2 linked regions of the Diceros bicornis minor genome follow. The protein of the gene in region 2 interacts with the protein of the main gene of each other region in a pairwise test. Links are inferred from orthologs where the notes say so. Each region holds a gene or a part of one and is shown on either strand. Other genes may lie near its edges.

Region 1 (9,059 bases), on a different chromosome or scaffold from region 2:
CTCCCAGAGTGATGGTGACTTCCAGTCAAAATCAAGCGAGAAAGTGTCTCCCCACCTCCTCGCTAATCCCAGAGGGACCCAAGCCTCCCTCCACTTGATTTAAACCAGTTGGCATCCCTTAGGCCCCCTGTGCCCTGGGCTGGGCAACGCTAGGCATTTGGTAGTGATCACTGCCCTCGTGGGGCTCACAGTCCAGTGCAGGAGACAGACCTGTCCCCAGACAGTGACAATCCAGAGTGGGCAGAGCTGGGATGGGGGACCCCAGGGGGCTGCTGGAGCGCAGAGCGGGCAGTTGACCCAGGCTGAGAGGTCAGGGAGGGCTTCCCGGAGGAGGGGATGTGCAGGCTGAGACTGAAGAGGTAAGGAAAGGTAAATGGAGCATGGAAGCATGCATCACAGATTTAGTTCCAAGCAACAGAAGCCGCCCCTGGGGCAAAAAGGAAATTGATTGAGAAGGTTTGGGATCGCTCATAAAATCCCAGGAGTGATTAGAGAACCAGGATTGGAAAGTGATCAAGAGCGCTGGCAGCCAGCCTCCAACCACAGCCCAGCCACGATCACGCCACAGAACCGGTCTGATGAGGATACGCTGGTGCTCCGATGACCACTGGACACTCGTTGTCTTGCTGCCTCGGCTACCCCAGAAACAGGCTGTGTCTGCTAGCTGTTGCTCCAACAAATCCCACCAAGACTTATTGGGGAACAACAGCAATCATGTTAATATCCCTCGTGGTTGCTGGGGGCCAGGATTTGGGGAAGGGCTCAGTTGGGTGGTTCTGGCTCAGGGTGCAATCAAATAGTGTGATCAAGTGGTCCTTGGAGCTGGGCAGCTGGGGGCAGGACAGGTGTCCCTCTGCAGACCTCTCCGTAGGGTCTCCACACTTGCTGATTTGGGCTTCCCCACAGTGTGGCTGCCTCAAGGTAGTCAGACTGCTTAGATGGTGGCTGAAGTCTTTTTGGAGAGAATTCCCATGACCTAGACAGAAGCTACATGGATTTTTCTACCTAATCTGGGGAGTCATGCAGTGTCACTTCTGCCACGTTGGTTACATGCGAGTCACAAAACCGCACAGATTTAAGAGGAGGAGACATAGACCCCACCTCTTGGGGGAAAGAGTGTCACGATCAGATTGCAGAAGAGCCTGTGGAATGAGAGATCTTGTAGCTGTCATCTTGGGAAAATAGAATGCATCCCGGCTGCTATAGTGGGAACAGATTAGCCAGTTCTTGCTTCTTTGGGATTATTAGCTCCCAGTTCCAAAGTATAGCAGAATTGGCCAAGCGTAGGTCACCTTAGCTCCAACAGAGGCAGGAAAGCAAACATCTGTCCTTGTTGGCTTCAACAGAGGGCAGCAGGCTTTCAGACACCAGGGATGTTTCTAAATGTGGGAAAGGCGCGTGGATGCTACCTTACCCTCCCCCGCAAAAAAGGCTGCTCCGGTCCTCCCCTTTGAATGCTCAACATCAGTACATATCTTTGTCCTATACTACATTCTTTTCCCCCAAAAGTTCTTATCTAAACTCTCCCTGCACAACTAACTGGTAAACCAAAAATGCATTCACACCGCCCCCCAAGACAACACAAAGTCTCAACGGTTACATTTTCCAGATGTAAGTCTGGAACCATTGGGAAATAGCCAGTCCCCTCGAGATGTGTCGCGAGCCCCATATCCCACACGCTGTGAACTAGCTTTAAAGTGAACCGTCACACGCTGTATGTAAAACAATGGGATGCAGGTGGGGAAAGAGGAGGCTTGTTAATGGAAACGTACAAGGATATACACAGGAGACAGCAAGGATGGAATTGGAGAGTTCATTCATTTCCTTTTTACTCAGCTCCTCCTATGCCAAGCACTGTTCTAGGCACTGGAGATACAGTGAACAAAACCACAGAGCTTAGCTTCTGTGCCAGACAAACAATAAAAAATAGATCTGTGGCAGTGGTAAGTGCTGCAGAGGAAAAACGTAGTAAGATAAGGGAAATGAGGCGTGGCTGGGATGGTCAAAGAAAGCTCTGATGATGTGATGTTGGGGTAGAGATTTGAAGCAAGGGAGGGAGGGAGATTCCCAGCAGAGAGGAGAGGAAGCGCAAAGGCCTGGAGGCTGGAACAGGCCTGGCATTGGAGGAACAGCATGGAAGCAAAGAGACCAATGTGGCAAGAGTAGAGCTATCGAAGGGGAAGAGAGGAAGATGGGGTCAGGGCGGTGACGAGGACCACATGGAGGACCTTGTGAGCCGTGAAGAGGATTTCGCTTTTACTCTGAGTGAGAGGAGCCGTGGGAGGATTCTGAGCAGAAGAGTAACGTGAGTTGAGTCACATTTGAACAGGATCCCTCTGCCTGTTTCCTAGGAATAAACTGCAGGGGACAAGGGCAGAGGATGTTACGGGACTAGTTTCTGCAGGTCTGTGAGGGACCGTGGCTGATATCTATGACTTCCCTCCTTCACCCACAATCCGTATGGTCCTCTCCCAACTAGAACCTCAGCTGGTTGGGTTCTTGAGGAAGGTGGAAGACGGGTGGCTGAGAAGAGGGCACCTGCCAGGGTCCGGCCCCATCAGTAGGCACGGAAGAGCTGGGGGGTGGGTGTCTGGGGTCGCAGTGTGGCGGCTTGTCCCAGGGAGCGTGTGGGGCTGTGTAGGAGTGCGACTGCCGTTGTCCCAGAGTGAGCTGGGATCGTGTGTCCTGTGACAGGGGGAGGGAGATCTGTTCCCAGTTAGAGATGACCCAGAGTCATCTCTGGGTTGGGCTGGGGTGGTGGAGCCCAGAGGGGTGCCTGGCCCAGCCTAGGGAAGCAGGGAGGGTGTCCTGGAAGAGGGGATGGTGCGGCTAATACTCAAAGATCACCTCCCCCAGTGTAATAGTTGCTCTCCTGTATCACCGATGGATAAATTGATTTGACAAGTCTGACCAATAACTTCCAGGCTGACCTATAATCTAAACCTTCCCTCTGTGTCTGATGGGCAAGGCCCAGTCTTACCAGTGACCCCCAAGTCTGATCAGAGGCCTGGGGAACCTCTCCCAGCAGGATCAGCTACCCCTCATTCTGACCAGTGTCCAGGGCTAGCTTCTCTCCGGTAACCAGTGACATCTCCCTCCCCCAGCAAGCCCCTGGCCGGCAGTCTGGGGATTTTGTCCTAGTCAGACCCGGCTTGTGAGAAGCCTCAGGCAGTCTGACCTCTGACTCCCAGTCTGACCTGTGACCTTTTCTTCTGACCCATGGCCAAGCCCCTCCCCGTCCTCTCAGGTACCCAGGCCTTCTCCCCTCCCCCACTCACCTGCTTCTGCCAGCCGGATTTTCCTCCCCTCCCCCCAAAGTTGGGAGGGAGCGAAGGGGGGAGGGAAAGAGGAAGGGGGTGGCATTCCTGGGATTCTCTGGTTGAGGAGAAGAGAGGGAGGGCCCTACAGAGCAGAGCCAAGGAAAGAGCACCCCGCAGCCCCCCCATCATCACAAAGGCCTGGGCAGAGCTGGGGTTTGAAGACTATTAGATATAAGAGATTGAACTGGTGGGTTCCAGGCTACTGTTCAGACAGGAAAGGAGCCCAGAGCACTGGCCATAGGGGAGGGCCTCACAGGGCAAACTGGGAGAAGCTATTCTAGAGCACTGGGCAGGCTCACAGTTACTGGGTGGACTGGGAAAGCCCAACCCAAGCCACTGATTAGACTGGGGTTCACTGGTTATTCTGCAGGAGGCTCATTCACGCCACTGATCAGGCTGGGGGCCACTGGTTGTCCTGGGAGAGGCCAGTGCAGGTCACTGGTTAGACAGGGTTCAGCTGGGTAAAATCAACGAGGCAAGGGCAAGCCACTGGCCATAGTGTGAAGGAGTCTCCAAGGCCCCTGGTCAGAATGAGGGGGAGAAGGTCTCAGCTCGGGACACTGGCCGGACTGGTTGGTCAGGCCACTCGCCGCGGGCGCTGGTCAGCCTGAGCTGCCAGTCCAGGGCTCGAGGGCAGAGGCAGCCCGCTCCAGGCGGAGCGCTGGGAGGTCGGCTCCGGGCAGTGGGAGGTCCTGGCCGGGCGCCCGGGTTTGGGGTGACGAGGGGGGCCGGGCGGGCGCGGCGGGGCGGGGCTGCCGGGGGCGGGGCCTCCTCTCTCCCCGCCCGGGGCCGCCGGGGCCGCCGAGCCGCAGCCCGGGCTGAGTCGCCGCCGCCGCCGCCGCCGCCACCGCCGGGAACATGGAGCCCCCGGACGCGCGGGTCGGGGCGCGCGGGGCCCCGCGGCTGCTGGCGCTCGTGCTCTTGCTGGGGGCGCACGCAGGTACGGCTCGGCGGAGAGCGGGGCGCGACTGGGGGCGGGCCCTGGGGACCCCGAGAAGGGAAGGGGGAGGGGGCTCTCACCGCCCCCAGGAAGCCAATCCTGGGGAGCCCAGGGAGGAGGGATATGGGAACGTCCGGGGCACCCCTCCCCGTGAGAGACCTGTGGACAGCCAGGCAGAGTTGCTGGGGATACCACAGCAGTGGATTAGAGACCACCTGAGAAGTCAGAGCCCGCTCCCCACTCGGGACCCAGGAGTGCGAGCCCCAGCCCCTCCTCCCTCAGACCCCAGAATCCAGGCCCCCAGCCCCTCCTCCCTCAGACCCAGGGGTCCAGGCCTCCAGGGACTGGAGTGGCTTCCCCAGGACACAGGAGACCGAAACCTCAGGGCTCCCCCCATGGAAGATTCTCAAGTTTTGAGAGGATCAGGGACCCTCAGGCCAGAAGCCAGAGCGTCCCCTGCATTTGAGGGTTTACCCCATCTAGATGCAGAGCCCAGACTCTGAGGAACCTGCCTCCCTCAGGAAAGGGCTGGAGCGCTGGCCCTGGGCAGTGGCAGTGGAACAAAGTGTTTCCGAGTGACAGTGCGCCCTTCCTGGGGCCCCAGATAAACCCACACACCTGCGAGGTGCTGGGAGGGGAGGAGCCCTGAGGGGCTGGCAGCAGGGGGCCGGAGAGATGAGAGAGACTGGGGAAGAGAGGGGAGATCTCTCTGTGTGTCTTTGCTGCCTGCTGCTCAGACTCAGCCCCAGGCACCAGCCTGGCCCCACGCCCCCTCCCCTGGGACAAGCCTGGGCCAGAGGTGGGTGCCTGGGAATCCAGGCCCCTGGTACAAGCATGGCAAATAGTGGCTCCCCAGGGGAAGGGCTGGGCCAGGCTGGGCGGGGAAGGGAAGGGAGCTTCTGAGAACTGAGAGCTGATGCCCAGAGGGTGAGAGAGCGTGGTTTCTCCATGAGAACAGCTCTATCTGCCAGGATCCTGGGACCGAGTCAGGCCCAGCCGCCAATTCCCCCAGGACCCAGGAGCCTAGGCTTCCAGCTCCCTTCTCCTTCAGGACACAGTATCTGGGGCCTCCACCCTATCCTGTTCTGGGGTGACGCACCTTACCCCCTTCCCTCCTCTATCAAAGAGGCAGAAGGGCCAACGGGCGGGTAGGGGGCTCTGGCGCCAGGTCGGGCAGGTCTGAGCCAGCCTGTCCCTCCCACATTCCTGAAACCTGCCCAGCCCTGTCCCCCCTCGCCACCCCCACACACTCATCCCACCTCAGCTCCAGGCCCAGCCGCAGCCCACACCCCAGCCCAGCCCCTAACTCATGAGGGGGAGACCCAGGGGCCCAGAGAGATGGAGACTGAGAGTGATGGGCTGAGAGAGACACAGAGAGAGGCAGAGAGTGTGGGACTAAGAGATGGAGACCCACACGCAGGGTGAGAGACACGCACGCAGAGATGGCACCCAGGATGGACGAGAGAGACATTTATCCTACGTCACCCTGCCAGGCCCTGCCCAGGGTGCTGGAGGCAAACGGATGAGCCGGCCCTGGCCCTGCCCTGGAAGGGTGTTTGGTCTACTGGGGAAAGCAAGGACAGGTGCAATTTTACCCCAGGAGGATTGAATGGAGGCCACCAGGCCCTGTGTGGCCCAAGGGAGGAGCCCTTAGTTCTGCAAGTGAAGGGAGCTATGGAGAGAACTGCTGATGGGAGCTGAAGCCAGAGATGCAGAGATGAGAGATGGAGGGAGACAGGAGCTGAGCCTGAGGGAGGAGGGGCTGGGCGCCCGGACCCCCGGGTCTGAGGGAGGAGGAGGCTGGGGGCCCGGACCCCCGGGTCTGAGGGAGGAGGAGGCTGGGGGCCCCGACCCCCGGGTCCTGGGGAAGGCGGGGCTCTATCTGGAGGGCTGTCCCTATTGGTGGCAGTGAGAGCTCAGTTGCCCTCCCGCAGGTGTGGAGGCTGAGGTGCATGGGTCTGTGCCCTCCCTGGTGGAGGTAATGCGAGGGAAGTCAGCCACCCTGAACTGCACCGCGTTGGGGACGCACGACCATTTCGCGCTGGAATGGTTTCTGGTGAGTGCTGTGGGCTGGGGCCGGGGGTGGTGGAAGGGGCCCTGGGAGCAGGGTGCAGCGGGGCCACAAACATCTATTCCCTCGTCAGAGCCTGAAGGACCCTAAGAGCTCTGCAATCTGCCTTTCCATTTGACAGATGGGGAAACTGAGGCCCAGCAAAGGGAAGGGACTCTCCAGGGTCCCCTGGTGTCCGGGCACAGCTGAGACTAGAATGAAGAATTCCCTCTTCAGAGGGCTGGCTCTTCAGAGAGAACATTCAGAGACAGACACCAAGAAAGCAAGAGACCCAGGGGTCGGGACTAAAGAGAGAGACAGAGAAGAAGAGAAAATAAGAGGCAGAGAGAGACAGGGTGGGAGAGGGAGGCGGAGAGAGAGGAAGAGAGTTGGGGACAGAGTGAGATGGAGAGAGAGGGAGATGACAACAGATAGGGCACAGGGACAGGAGGGTGTGGAGAGGGGGACAGAGGGACCAGAGACAGGTAACAAGAGGAAAAGAGACAGACCCACAGAGCAGCAGAAAGAAAGGGGCATGAGAGAGACAGAGACACGGAGGAGGGTGGGCTGGGCAGCTCCGAGCTGAGGCCCTCCCCGCCGGCAGGCCGACCGCTCCGGGGCCCGCCACCGCCTGGCCTCGGCCGAGCTGCAGGGCTCTGAGCTCCAGGTCAGGATGCACGACTCCCGGGGCCGCAGCCCCCCGTACCAGCTGGACTCCCAGGGGCGCCTGGTGCTGGCCGACGCCCAGGTGGGCGACGAGCGGGACTATGTGTGCGTGGTGCAGGCGGGGGCAGCGGACACCGCCGAGGCCACCACCCAGCTCCGAGTGTTCGGTGAGTGTCCAAGGGCACCCCTGGAAGGGGCGGACAGGAGACAGCCTGGGGAAGGGGCTCCTGACTGTAACGTCTCCCCCACAGCAAAACCAGAGGCCACCGAGGTCTCCCCCAACAAAGGGATTCTATCTGTGATGGATGACTCTGCCCAGGAGGTACCTTGGGATGGGCCTTGATTCCAGGGTGCTGGGGAAGGTGGGAGCTGGGGGGCCCATAAGCCTGGATCCTAAGGTTGGAGGGGCCTGGACTCCTGCATCCTGGGGAGGAGGGGGCTGCGGGGCCCAGGATCCTGGATCCTAAGGTTGGAGGGGGCTGGGGGCCTGGACTCCTCCATCCTGGGGGAGGAGAGGCCTAGGGGACCTAGAATCCGGGAGCCTAAGGTTGGAGGGGCCTAGACTCCTGCATCCTGGGGAGGAGGGGGCTGGGGGCCTGGGTTTCTCAGTCTGAGGAGGGGCCCGGAGGTGTGGACTTCTGGGTCCTTGGGGAGCAGAGGGCTGGGAGCCCAGACTCCTGTATCTGAGTGGGGAGAACTTCTGAGGGAGGCAGGGACCCAGATTTCGGAGTCCTGGCTCAGAGCCCAGGGCCACGCCCGTTTCACCTCAGATCGCCACCTGCAACAGCCCCAACGGGAACCCGGCCCCCCAGATCACGTGGTATCGGAATGGGCAGCTCCTGGAGGTGCCCCTGGAGGTGAACTCAGGTGAGCGGCGCAGGAGCCTGGCCAGACGGGGGGCGGGGTGGGCTGGTGGCCCGGCCACTGACGGCCTCCTCCGTCTCCCCCAGAGGGCTACATGACCACCCGTACCGTGCGGGAGGCCTCGGGCCTGCTGTCCCTCACCAGCACCCTCTACCTGCGGCTCCGCAAGGCCGACCGGGACGCCAGCTTCCACTGCTCCGTGCGCCACCGCCTGCCCGCCGGCCGGCAGGGCCGCCTGGACAGCCCTGTCTTCCGCCTCACCCTGCACTGTGAGTCCCCGCCGGCCCTGACCTCCCGCCCCCCACTCCACGCCTCCCTGAGGCCCGGCCCTCCCCTCTGGCCCTCACGCTGAAATGTGTCTGACCTCTGACCTCTGACCTCAAATAGTAGCACAAGCCCCATCCTATGTCTGACCCCCGTAGCACCCTGAACCCCATGGAGTTTCATGACTAAACGTCATGAAACATCCCACCCTCTCACACTGAATTGGGTCCCCAAATCTCACACTGGCCTGTCATCCACACTGATTTCTGACCCTTGACCTGTACTCTCAGCTTATCTCAATCCTGCCCTCTGGTCCCTGATCTCAGAATAAGAGTGAACCTGAACCTTGAAAGATGTGACCTCTCCCCTTTGACCGACCGTGGTCCTCCCCTTTGCTGGTGGCGCTGGCCTCTCTCCCTTAATCCGGCCCCGCCTTTTACCCTTGACCTGACCTACCCTGGACCCTGATGGTGAGTCTGCCCTGACCCGCTCCCGCCCTTTCTCTTAGATCCCACGGAGCACGTGCAGTTCTGGGTGGGCAGCCCAGCCACCACGGAGGGCTGGGTCCGCGAGGGTGACTCTGTCCAGCTGTTCTGCCGGGGGGACGGCAGCCCCAGCCCGGAGTACACCTTCTTCCGCCTCCAGGTGACCCAGCCATTATTCCTCTGGAGCCCTGGGCCCTGACCTCTGGGAGGTGCTGACCTGCCCCAGCTTCTAACCTTTCATCTGGGGGCGCCTGGCTTAGCTGACTGGTGACCCGGGAGCTCACGTGACCTCTGACCCCTGCCTTGAGAGGGTCCTGACTTGGGTGACCCTGGGCCGAGCAGGGCCTCTGCCCCTCCCTGGAGTGGGCTGTGACTTCCTGTGACGCTAACTGGGTGGCCCCCGACCTAGCATGACCCCCCGGGACCAGAGCGGCTCCTGAGTGGGATCCTCATCCCTGGTCACCCAGGCC
Region 2 (8,837 bases):
ACTAAAGGTTATCTGGTCCAGTGGATTGCAAATGTCAGGCCTCATTAAACTTTTTACTGGTCTGTGACAAAACGAGGACAATGTAGTAAGTTTTCATATAACTAAATTACTTGAATTTAAGGATTAGCCTTTAGTCTGAGAGTATGTCCTTTGTATTTGGGGAGGGATATTAAAATGGGCTTTCTTTTACAAAAATATGGTAACATCTTTGATAATTATTACGTTATCAATTTTTTTTTTTTACTTGGCAAAACAAAAAACTTAGCAATTCTATGTTGGACTTTAATTTTTTTTTAATTTTACAGGTTCTTGAAATCCAAAAATCTGAGAACCTCTGCTCTAATACAACCAATCTTGTGCCACCTGAATCCCTTAGAACACGGTCCACACGATGTTTGTCTGCTGATGCCTGAACAACTCCGATGACAAGAGTCTCCAGTGATGCGGAATCATCAACTGAAAAAAGATATGGTTGTTTCTGAGGCATGTTTACTTAGTTTTGTGAAGGAAAAGCAAAAAATTAAGGCCTGTAGCGAGAAAGCCAACTCATGAAAGAGAAGCCAGTAAGAAAACAAGGGCCAAGAGAACTGTTGAGTGAGGGGTGGTGAAAGGGATGAACTTCATCCTATACCTCATAGGCTTCCCTCAACTTAATCATGATGAAAATCCTTTACATAAATAACTATAAAAGCTAGAATGTGTAAAACATTTCTGAGGTCAGGGCTGATCAATTTACATTTCCTTTTGCATATCTCAGTTTACTGCCTGAAATTCCTTTACTACTCGACATCTAATTCTTAGTTGTACACCTTTTAGGTTGGATCGGAGGCAAACGTCCCACGACATTTGTTACCCAGACCCTAAAATGCAACAGAATCTAAATGCCACATATAAGATGCAAAAAAAACAATAAGCAGAGCTATGATGCCCAATGACAATCAATATGAGAATTAAAAAGGATGAGGAGAACTTGGAGGCAAGGAGTGGAAAGAGCACAAGAGATCAAAACCTAATTTCAACGAGCCCATCCTGAAGGAACTAGGGAGCGGGGGCACAGTCGCCTCTATCCCTCCAAGACAATAAGCTAATAGGCTGAAGGGGAGCAAAGTGAGACTTGAAAACAAAGTAAAACGGGCTGTTAAAAAAGAAGCATACGCCAAGAGCACCACACACAGCGCCAGGCACAGACAGGCATTCAAATATTTGCAGAATTAATGAATTAATAAACAGACACTCGCACAAAGAGGATCTGAGTCCCTGCTTCCAATCACATCATCCAAGGCACTTTAAGGCCACATCAAACATTTTTCTTTGCCTTAAAGCTCAGGCTAAAAATCTAACCTTATGAAAAGCTGAGCCCTCCCAATAACTTCCACTGGCCTCTGTCCTCGCCCAGCTCTAGCCCAGTGAGGTCCAATGATGTTGCTTCCCAAAGACACTGCCTGCATTTCTCAAATCCGGCCCCCATGATTCAGGTGGAAGGAAAACACAAGTTCATGGGAGTGGAGGCAAACAGGCCGAGGGGTGGCAGGGAAAACTATTTCTGATCTACAGAAAGGTAAGTGACGCTCCAAAGAGCTCTGGAATAAGAGTTAATCCTAGACAGACCAAAGGAAAATAAAACTTATTTGTATTTATTATTAAATGAACAGAAACAATAAAAAGTCTCACCATCTTTAGCCACCCACAATTAAAAGAAGTTTTAACAATTCTTTTCTGCCTGCTGGCATTCCACGCTTTCCAGTACATCTCAGCCTGTCATTGTTTCAGCATTATTGATGGAGTATCAATACCAAAGAATTGTGCTAGACGCCAAAATCATGATTAGTTGATCTGTCCAAGATTCAGTTTATCAATATTTGCATGCACACATCTATTTCACTTTTAATTATTTCCATTTAAATCATTTTCTATGTCTCTACGCCCTCCCTCCAGAGCCTGCTTTCCCACACCTTTTTTTCACCTGCATTCTAAGATCCCCTTGTTCTTTGCTTTAGTTCCCTCTGCTCCCAAAGTAAAAAGAGACTGCAGAGAACTGATAACAAGGGGGCAGGTTTACCATAGATAACATGCCTACCTGGTATATTCTATACACTATGTGCTGTCTATATACAGGTAGCATTTCCTGTCTTCAGTGCCTCTGAGCCTGGACTGAACTCCTGTGCTGTGCTGTGCTCAGGCTGCTGATGCTAACAATCCACCATCACGTTTCCTAGGGGTTCAGGAGCCTTCCCGAACCTGCTGAAGAACCAGACCAGATCACAAAGCCCTCAAGGCCACAGCAATCACAAAGCAACTGAGCCCCTTGCTTCTACCAGCCCAGGACGATCAATTCAAGAGTCTTATCATCTACTCCTTAGAGCCCCATGACCTGTTCCACTCAAGCTAAAAATTCTGTAAGGCACTTTTGGAAAATGTAGTTCCCAGGATCCTATTAGCTCTCCTAAAAGGACCCAACATCAAAAAATTATTCCACCCAAGCCAAATATCCATATTTTGGCTGGAATCCCGCCAAACAACCACAAGAGGCTGGTGCAGTACAACTGCCATGGACTGAAGCTGGCCAAATCCAAGTGAAAAAGGATAAAGCTCCATGAATAAGCTCTCGCGAAAAGGTACACCACTCTTCAGAATGAGGTTTGTTCACGGTCTGAAAAGTCAGATGCAAAGGGCTCTCGTTCCTTCATAAAGGTTAAACTAAGAAAAGCCAATCAAAATTGAAATTGTCAAAACTCCTGGGGATTTATAGCCCACTTTTACCAAATACTAAAAAAAAATATATTGCACTGAATAATGTAAATTTTCAATATCTCCCACAAAATTCAGCTGTTATTATTTCTGGAGGGTAATTTTGTTGCAGGTGATCTTGAAGGTATGTGGGTACCAAGGAAAAGCCACCTGTGCCTGGCAAGTCGCTATACTCCTAATGTGCCCAGGGTACCAAGGAAACATAAGATGCTCTGATTTCTGGACACAATTTTCTGCAGTGCCAGGTAAAAGAGGTCACATGCCCTGAACAGCCGCGGCTCATTTAGAGTGATGTAAAAGCTTCGGATATTAATTTTGCTAGAAATTCGGAGAAGCAAGCAACGTAAAATCAATTCATATAGACACCGGGCGTCTAGTACTTTCCAGCTGCTTTTTTTTTCCAACAGACTCCCGTGCACCATATCTCCATCCCTTAGAAAGGGGTGGACAAGCTGGGCACCAGCAGCCCATGCATTTCAGAGGGGTACACACAGGACAGAGTGCCCAAGCACAGCCCATCCCGAAGCTTCTATTCGCCTGGGATGGGGCAGACCCTTCCTGGAAATCATGGGCAGCGTTTTAAGTCGCTGCCTGGCCAGGCTGAGTTTCCGTCCGCGTCCGCCTCAGGACTGCGGGAACCGCGCCTCGTCACGCCCCGCAGCTCCCACCTCCCGCCGCCCCCGGTGGCTCCGGGCGTCCTCCGCCGGCGGGCACCGGGCGGCCGTCCCCGAGCAGCGCCCACGGCCGGCGACAAGCGCCGCAGCGGCACAGCCCGCCCGGCCGCTCACTCACGCGGGAGGCAGCGGCGGCGTCTCCATTGTGGCTCCTCTCGGGCTTCAGAACGCAGGCACCGACCGCCGCCGCCAGCACCATTCCAGCCGCGGACGCCGGCACTGCCCGCCCGCCGAGCCGCGTTCCATCCGCCCCGGGGGGGGCGCCGCGCTCGCCTCACCGCGCGCCACCAGCCGCGGCGGCGGCCCCCGCGGCCATGGCCCGCTCGGCCGGGCGCGCTCCGTGTGCCTGCGCGGCTCCCGCGCTCGCCCGAGTGCGGGGCGGCGGCGGCGGCGGCAGCAGCGGCGGCGGGACGGACGGGCGCGCCGGCTCAGCCACTTCCGGGTTCGGCCCCGGCCGGCGCCGACGCCGTGACCGGACGGCGCTGCGGCCTCCCGCGGCGGCCCGGGACCCCTCCCTCGGCGCCTCCCTCTTTCTCTGCTGCCGCCGCTCAGGCTCAGGCTCAGGCTGCTGTTGCTGCTGGAGGCGGGCGGGCGCGTCCAGACGCGGGCGGCGCGGCGGGACGGGGGCGACGGCCGCCCGCGGCGGGGACTGTGGGTCACCCGGGCGGGGGAGCTAGAAAATGGGAAGGGGTGCTGTCTGTGCGGGAAGAGGGCGCCCGAAAGCACAGCAGTCGCGCTCGCGTTGACTTATTGCTCTGCTTCACAAGCGTGTTCACATTATTCTCTTAGATTTGAGCCTGTGCCCAGGGAGATGGGAAGGGTAGGCAGAACCAACCACTTCCTCTACAAATGGTGAAACTGAGGCAAGAAGAAATGAATTTGCCTGGCCCGTGTCCCAAGCAAGAACCTGGGCCTCCCTCCTCAGTATGTGATCCGTTTGTTGGACAAGTGAAGTGAGCACCTAGTAGGCAAGGTTTTGGTACTGGGTGGAGGATAGAGAGCAAAACCAGGTCTCTACTTGTGCAGCTGTCGATCTAGACGGGCTAAGAAACTATAAACGAACGATGCCTGCAATGAGGAAAATCAGGGTGAGGAGATGGGCTGCTATTTTAGGAATGGTCAGGGAAGGCCTCTCAAATGAAGTCATTTACACAGAGATGGCATAAAATGAATCTTGAGTAAAGCAGAGAGTTCTCAGGGCAAGGGAAGAGTAGTGCAGGGACGCTTATGCAAAATCTTGCCTGGCTTGTTGAGGAACAGGAAGGAGAACAGTGTAGCTGGTGGTTCTCCAAGTATGCCCACTGGACAGCAGTAGCATCTGGGACTTTGTTAGAAATGCAGATTCTCCAGGCCTGCTTCAAATCTAATGAATCAGAAACTCTGAGGGTGGGGCCCAGCAGTGTTGCTGTGACAAGCCCTCCAGATGATGCTAAGGTTGAGAACCTCTGGTGTAGCTGAAGCAGAGTGAGGAGAGGATATAGTGAGCTGAGATGGGGGGGAGTAGTGACATCACATAGGCCTTGTAGGTCATCATAAGGGATTTGGCTTTTGCTGAGAAGATAAGCAACTAGAAAGTCATGAGCAGCTTAATCAGATAATTAAAAGGAGGACTTGGCTGGGATTTGTTTTAAAATACTCCACCAGGCTCCAGCCCAGTGGCACAGCCGATAAGTTCTCGCTGTCAGCTTTGGTTGGGCGTTCGCGGTTTGGTTCCTGGGCGCGGACCTACTCACCACTCATGAAGCCGTGCTGAGGTGGTGTCCCACATAGAAGAACTAAAAGGACCTATAACTAGGATATACAACTATGTACTGGGGCTTTGGGGAGAAATAAGAAAAAGGGGAAGATTGGCAACAGATGTTAGCTCAGGGCCAGTCTTCCTCAAAAAGAAAAAAAGAATACTCCACCAAAAAAGAGAGGATGGGGAATAGAAGGAAGAAGATGGGCAAAATGTTAGTTTTTGATGCTGAGTGATGGGTACATGAAGGTGGTCATCATTTATGTGTATTTATGTGTAAGTTTTAAAAGGTTAAAAAAATTTTTTTTAAAAAAGATGACTGGTTGCTATAGGAACAATATATGAAGGGAAGCAGGAGAGCCAGCAAGGAGATTAGCCTAGCTGGGATGAAAAATAAGGATGGCCTGGACTAAAGTCAGAGTGATGGAGAGAAGTGGTCAGATTCTGATTCTATTTAGAAGATAAAGCACGCAGGAATTGCTGATAGATTAGATGTGAGTATAAGAGAAAGAGCCGAGTCAAAGATGACCCCAAGTGTTTTGGTCTAGGCTCTTGGGAGAGTGGAATTGCCATTTACTGAAATTGAGGGGATAGAAAAGAAACAGATCTGGCGGGGAGAGGGGAGTATTTGTAGTCTCTGATTTAGACGTGGTAAGATTGAGGCGTCTGTTAAATATCCACGTGAAAATAGGTGTAGACAACTAGATATATGTATCTGGGGTGAACATAGTGTGGAGGTTGTGAGCATATACATGGTATTTAAAATCATGGGACTGGTTGAGATCAACTAGATAATGTAGCTAGAGAAAAGAGGAGGACCAAGAAGTGAGCCCTGGGGCACTCCAACATTAAGCCGGTAAGATGAAGAGGATTCAGCAAAGGAGACAGAAGGAGCAGGAGAAGTGTCTTGGTAGCCTAGTGAAATGTTCCGGGAAAAGGCAATAACTTAGTATGCCTTAGCACGAGCTATCCTCTCTGTAACCTCATGGCGTTATTGATCCACCATGAGTAGGGCATATATGATGAGTTATTTCTCTAGTGTTATTGTTGGATTAGTTCAGATCCATAATAAAACTTCCTACTTTATATGAAGTTGTTATAAGACCTAGATGAAATAATCTATATGAAGCAAATAGCAGTAAGTGTATAATGGAAGCACTGAATAAATGTTAATTGCTATTATTATTTCTACACATTTCCATGACCATCAGTTATACCTAACTCAGCTAGGAGTTGAGGTTAAGTGCTGGACCCAAGAGATACACGCTAACTTAGGTTTGACCAAACCTTTGGCCTGACTTCCTTCTTCTGCATGCAAGTTGAGTGAGCAGGGCTGTTTGATTAGCCATTTTAGGAGTTCTTTTGGAAAAAAGCAAAAAACCCTTCTATTGCTTTTGTAACTTAGTGTTACATGTACAAGTACAGAAAGTAAAATAGTGTTATCTATACAAGTAAATACTAAAATGTGAGGATGTATCAATCTGACAAATGGACACACAACTCCAAACCATAGCCCGTTTCACATCTTCCTCTAGATTCGTTTTATCTGTTACAGTTCTCTGCTTCTTAAGGGATCCTGGTTATCTAGCATGCTAAATGTCTAACCAAACCTTTTCTTTTCCACACCCATCCCTAAATTTGTAGGCTTTACAAGTGGACTGTAGAAAAGAGGCCGTAGAAAAAAAAAGAGTATTTTTTTACCCACAGCTTGCTAAGAATTCAGTGTCAGCCCACAGCTCTAGTATCCTAGTGTGGTGGCCACCAGGTAGATTTGAAGACAGTCTATGTTCCTAATCCAAGTCTCTGTCTTGGACCCCATTCCCTGCAGAGAAGAGGAAGAGCTGAACCCACGACTCAGACCCTGGAATTTCGATTAGGCTCAGATTTAATCAAGCATCTCATCTAAGAATCTTGAAGCAATTTGAAAATATTAGTTAATCAGCACTGAACCTTTGTTGTTTTCTAAAGAGACAATGATGGGACCCTTGGCTTTCAGACATTAGCGGACCTGCCTAAGATCGGTAGCAATTTAAGAGGCCAAAGTTTCCATTTTCATCTTTGTGTGGGCCAAGGAACCTCACAGAACTGGTCCTCGGCCAGATGCAGTCTCAACGCTTAACTCTGTCTCACTATTCACAAGAAAAGTAAACAAAAATGTTTGATGGACACAAATCCATCACTACTATGGGGAAAAAACTTTTAATATGTCTTCCTTTGTTTGCCAGTTTCACCATTTTCTTAAGTAAAGTTCACAAAGGATTAGGAGTACCTACCCAAGATCACCAAGGACTTCTCGTTTCCATTTCCCTTGGCATAAGAACTGACCGGGTATGCAGAGGTGTTTGACCTCTCCTTGCTTAGGTTACTAGCTCCACCCATCTATTGATTATTCTGTGGATGAATTCTTCACTCCCCACAGAGAGGTGAGATCTTACAAAAGTCCATGCATTTGTTACACTGTTGAAATAGAACAATTCCTTAACTGTATTAGTAACCATAACCTAAAGCTAATGTAAGTGATCAGAATACATCAATTGTAATGAAGATGGAAACGTGCAGAGGAATAAGTCCACGACAGTCACTGGTGGCAAAAATTACTTCGATTGAGTTGAAATCAGATGTTGCAGTAGAACTAATGACATGACATGGCAGGCACAAACACATCACATGGCGAGAATCTGGGAACTGAGAATTGCTCTTGTAAAGAAAAGACTTAATTTCACCAAAGAGTATAAAACTATAAGATCCTGTTTTTGTAATTCCTTCCAGTGTAAAGAGAACAAGTGTAAAAAGTGTCCCTCATTCAAAAATAGGATGCTAAAGAAGATGAACTTCTAAAAAGTCTTATTTTCTGTCTCAAAGAGTTAGTCTAAAATACATTACTTGACTTGTTTTTCTAATTTTAAATTAGAGTTTTTGCTTTTATTCTTTTGATTTGGAAGCAGCTTAGGGTATGTAATATATTATGAAACATTTCAAAGTATTCTTGTGAGACTTTGCTGTTTAGCAAATGGATTTGTCAATACATGAAGGTATTTATTACAGGCTTTGTGGTGTTAAATGGGGTGATGTGAGCCTTCTGCTCGAGACCAACAGAAAATCTTTAATTGAAGGAGTCTTTCATTTCTGAGTCCAGTTTACTCTACAAATGCTTGCTTCCTTGTTTTCATAGTCTTTAAGGTACCAACCTTACTTCCAACACAGCACACCTGCCCGTTATCCTGTATTGGAGGTTCCTGGAGAAATTAAAGCAAATTGTTTGCTGCAAAGTCTAATTGGAAATCTGTTGCAATAGGTACAGGAAGTATCCAAAAATAGGCTTCACGCTAATGTATATCAGGTAAGCAGTTTCTCTGTGCTTTTTTAAGAAAAGGAAATTTATTTTTACTTGCATATAGTTATATGGTATCTATTTATGTAGTCTGGTGATGTAATACCTCATTGTAGAATTATCTAGGACTAAACATCTTTCTACAGAGTCAGCAATGCTGGGGAGAGGAAAAAGGAATTAAAAATTCTTGATAAATTATGCAAAGCATTACTAGCTTGTTGTCATTCATCTCAAGTTATACACATGCACACACAAACTCCTATCCACAGCTCCTGATGGTCCATCACAGCTAACTGTTAATAGCACGGACCCTAGGTGAAATTGTGAAATAAGTTTGGTTTTGGCA

What was found.
Region 1: the proteins of KLHL2 (region 2) and BCAM interact in binary tests that used the Homo sapiens proteins (3 or more experiments, as listed by UniProt). The two-hybrid records come from large-scale screens. The link is inferred for Diceros bicornis minor from reciprocal best matches to the Homo sapiens genes KLHL2 and BCAM.

Annotation. Positions count from the first base shown.
Region 1 is NC_080773.1:19,162,216-19,171,274, forward strand, and holds the start of BCAM (basal cell adhesion molecule), read left to right. Parts: upstream 1-5,443; 5' UTR 5,444-5,662; coding exon 5,663-5,843; intron 5,844-6,194; coding exon 6,195-6,316; intron 6,317-6,914; coding exon 6,915-7,143; intron 7,144-7,227; coding exon 7,228-7,298; intron 7,299-7,746; coding exon 7,747-7,843; intron 7,844-7,926; coding exon 7,927-8,109; intron 8,110-8,612; coding exon 8,613-8,749; intron 8,750-9,056; coding exon 9,057-9,059. UniProt on the Homo sapiens protein: Transmembrane glycoprotein that functions as both a receptor and an adhesion molecule playing a crucial role in cell adhesion, motility, migration and invasion.
Region 2 is NC_080750.1:52,255,751-52,264,587, reverse strand, and holds the start of KLHL2 (kelch-like protein 2), read right to left. Parts: upstream 3,816-8,837; 5' UTR 3,567-3,815; coding exon 3,541-3,566; intron 1-3,540. UniProt on the Homo sapiens protein: Substrate-specific adapter of a BCR (BTB-CUL3-RBX1) E3 ubiquitin ligase complex that mediates the ubiquitination of target proteins, such as NPTXR, WNK1, WNK3 and WNK4, leading most often to their proteasomal degradation.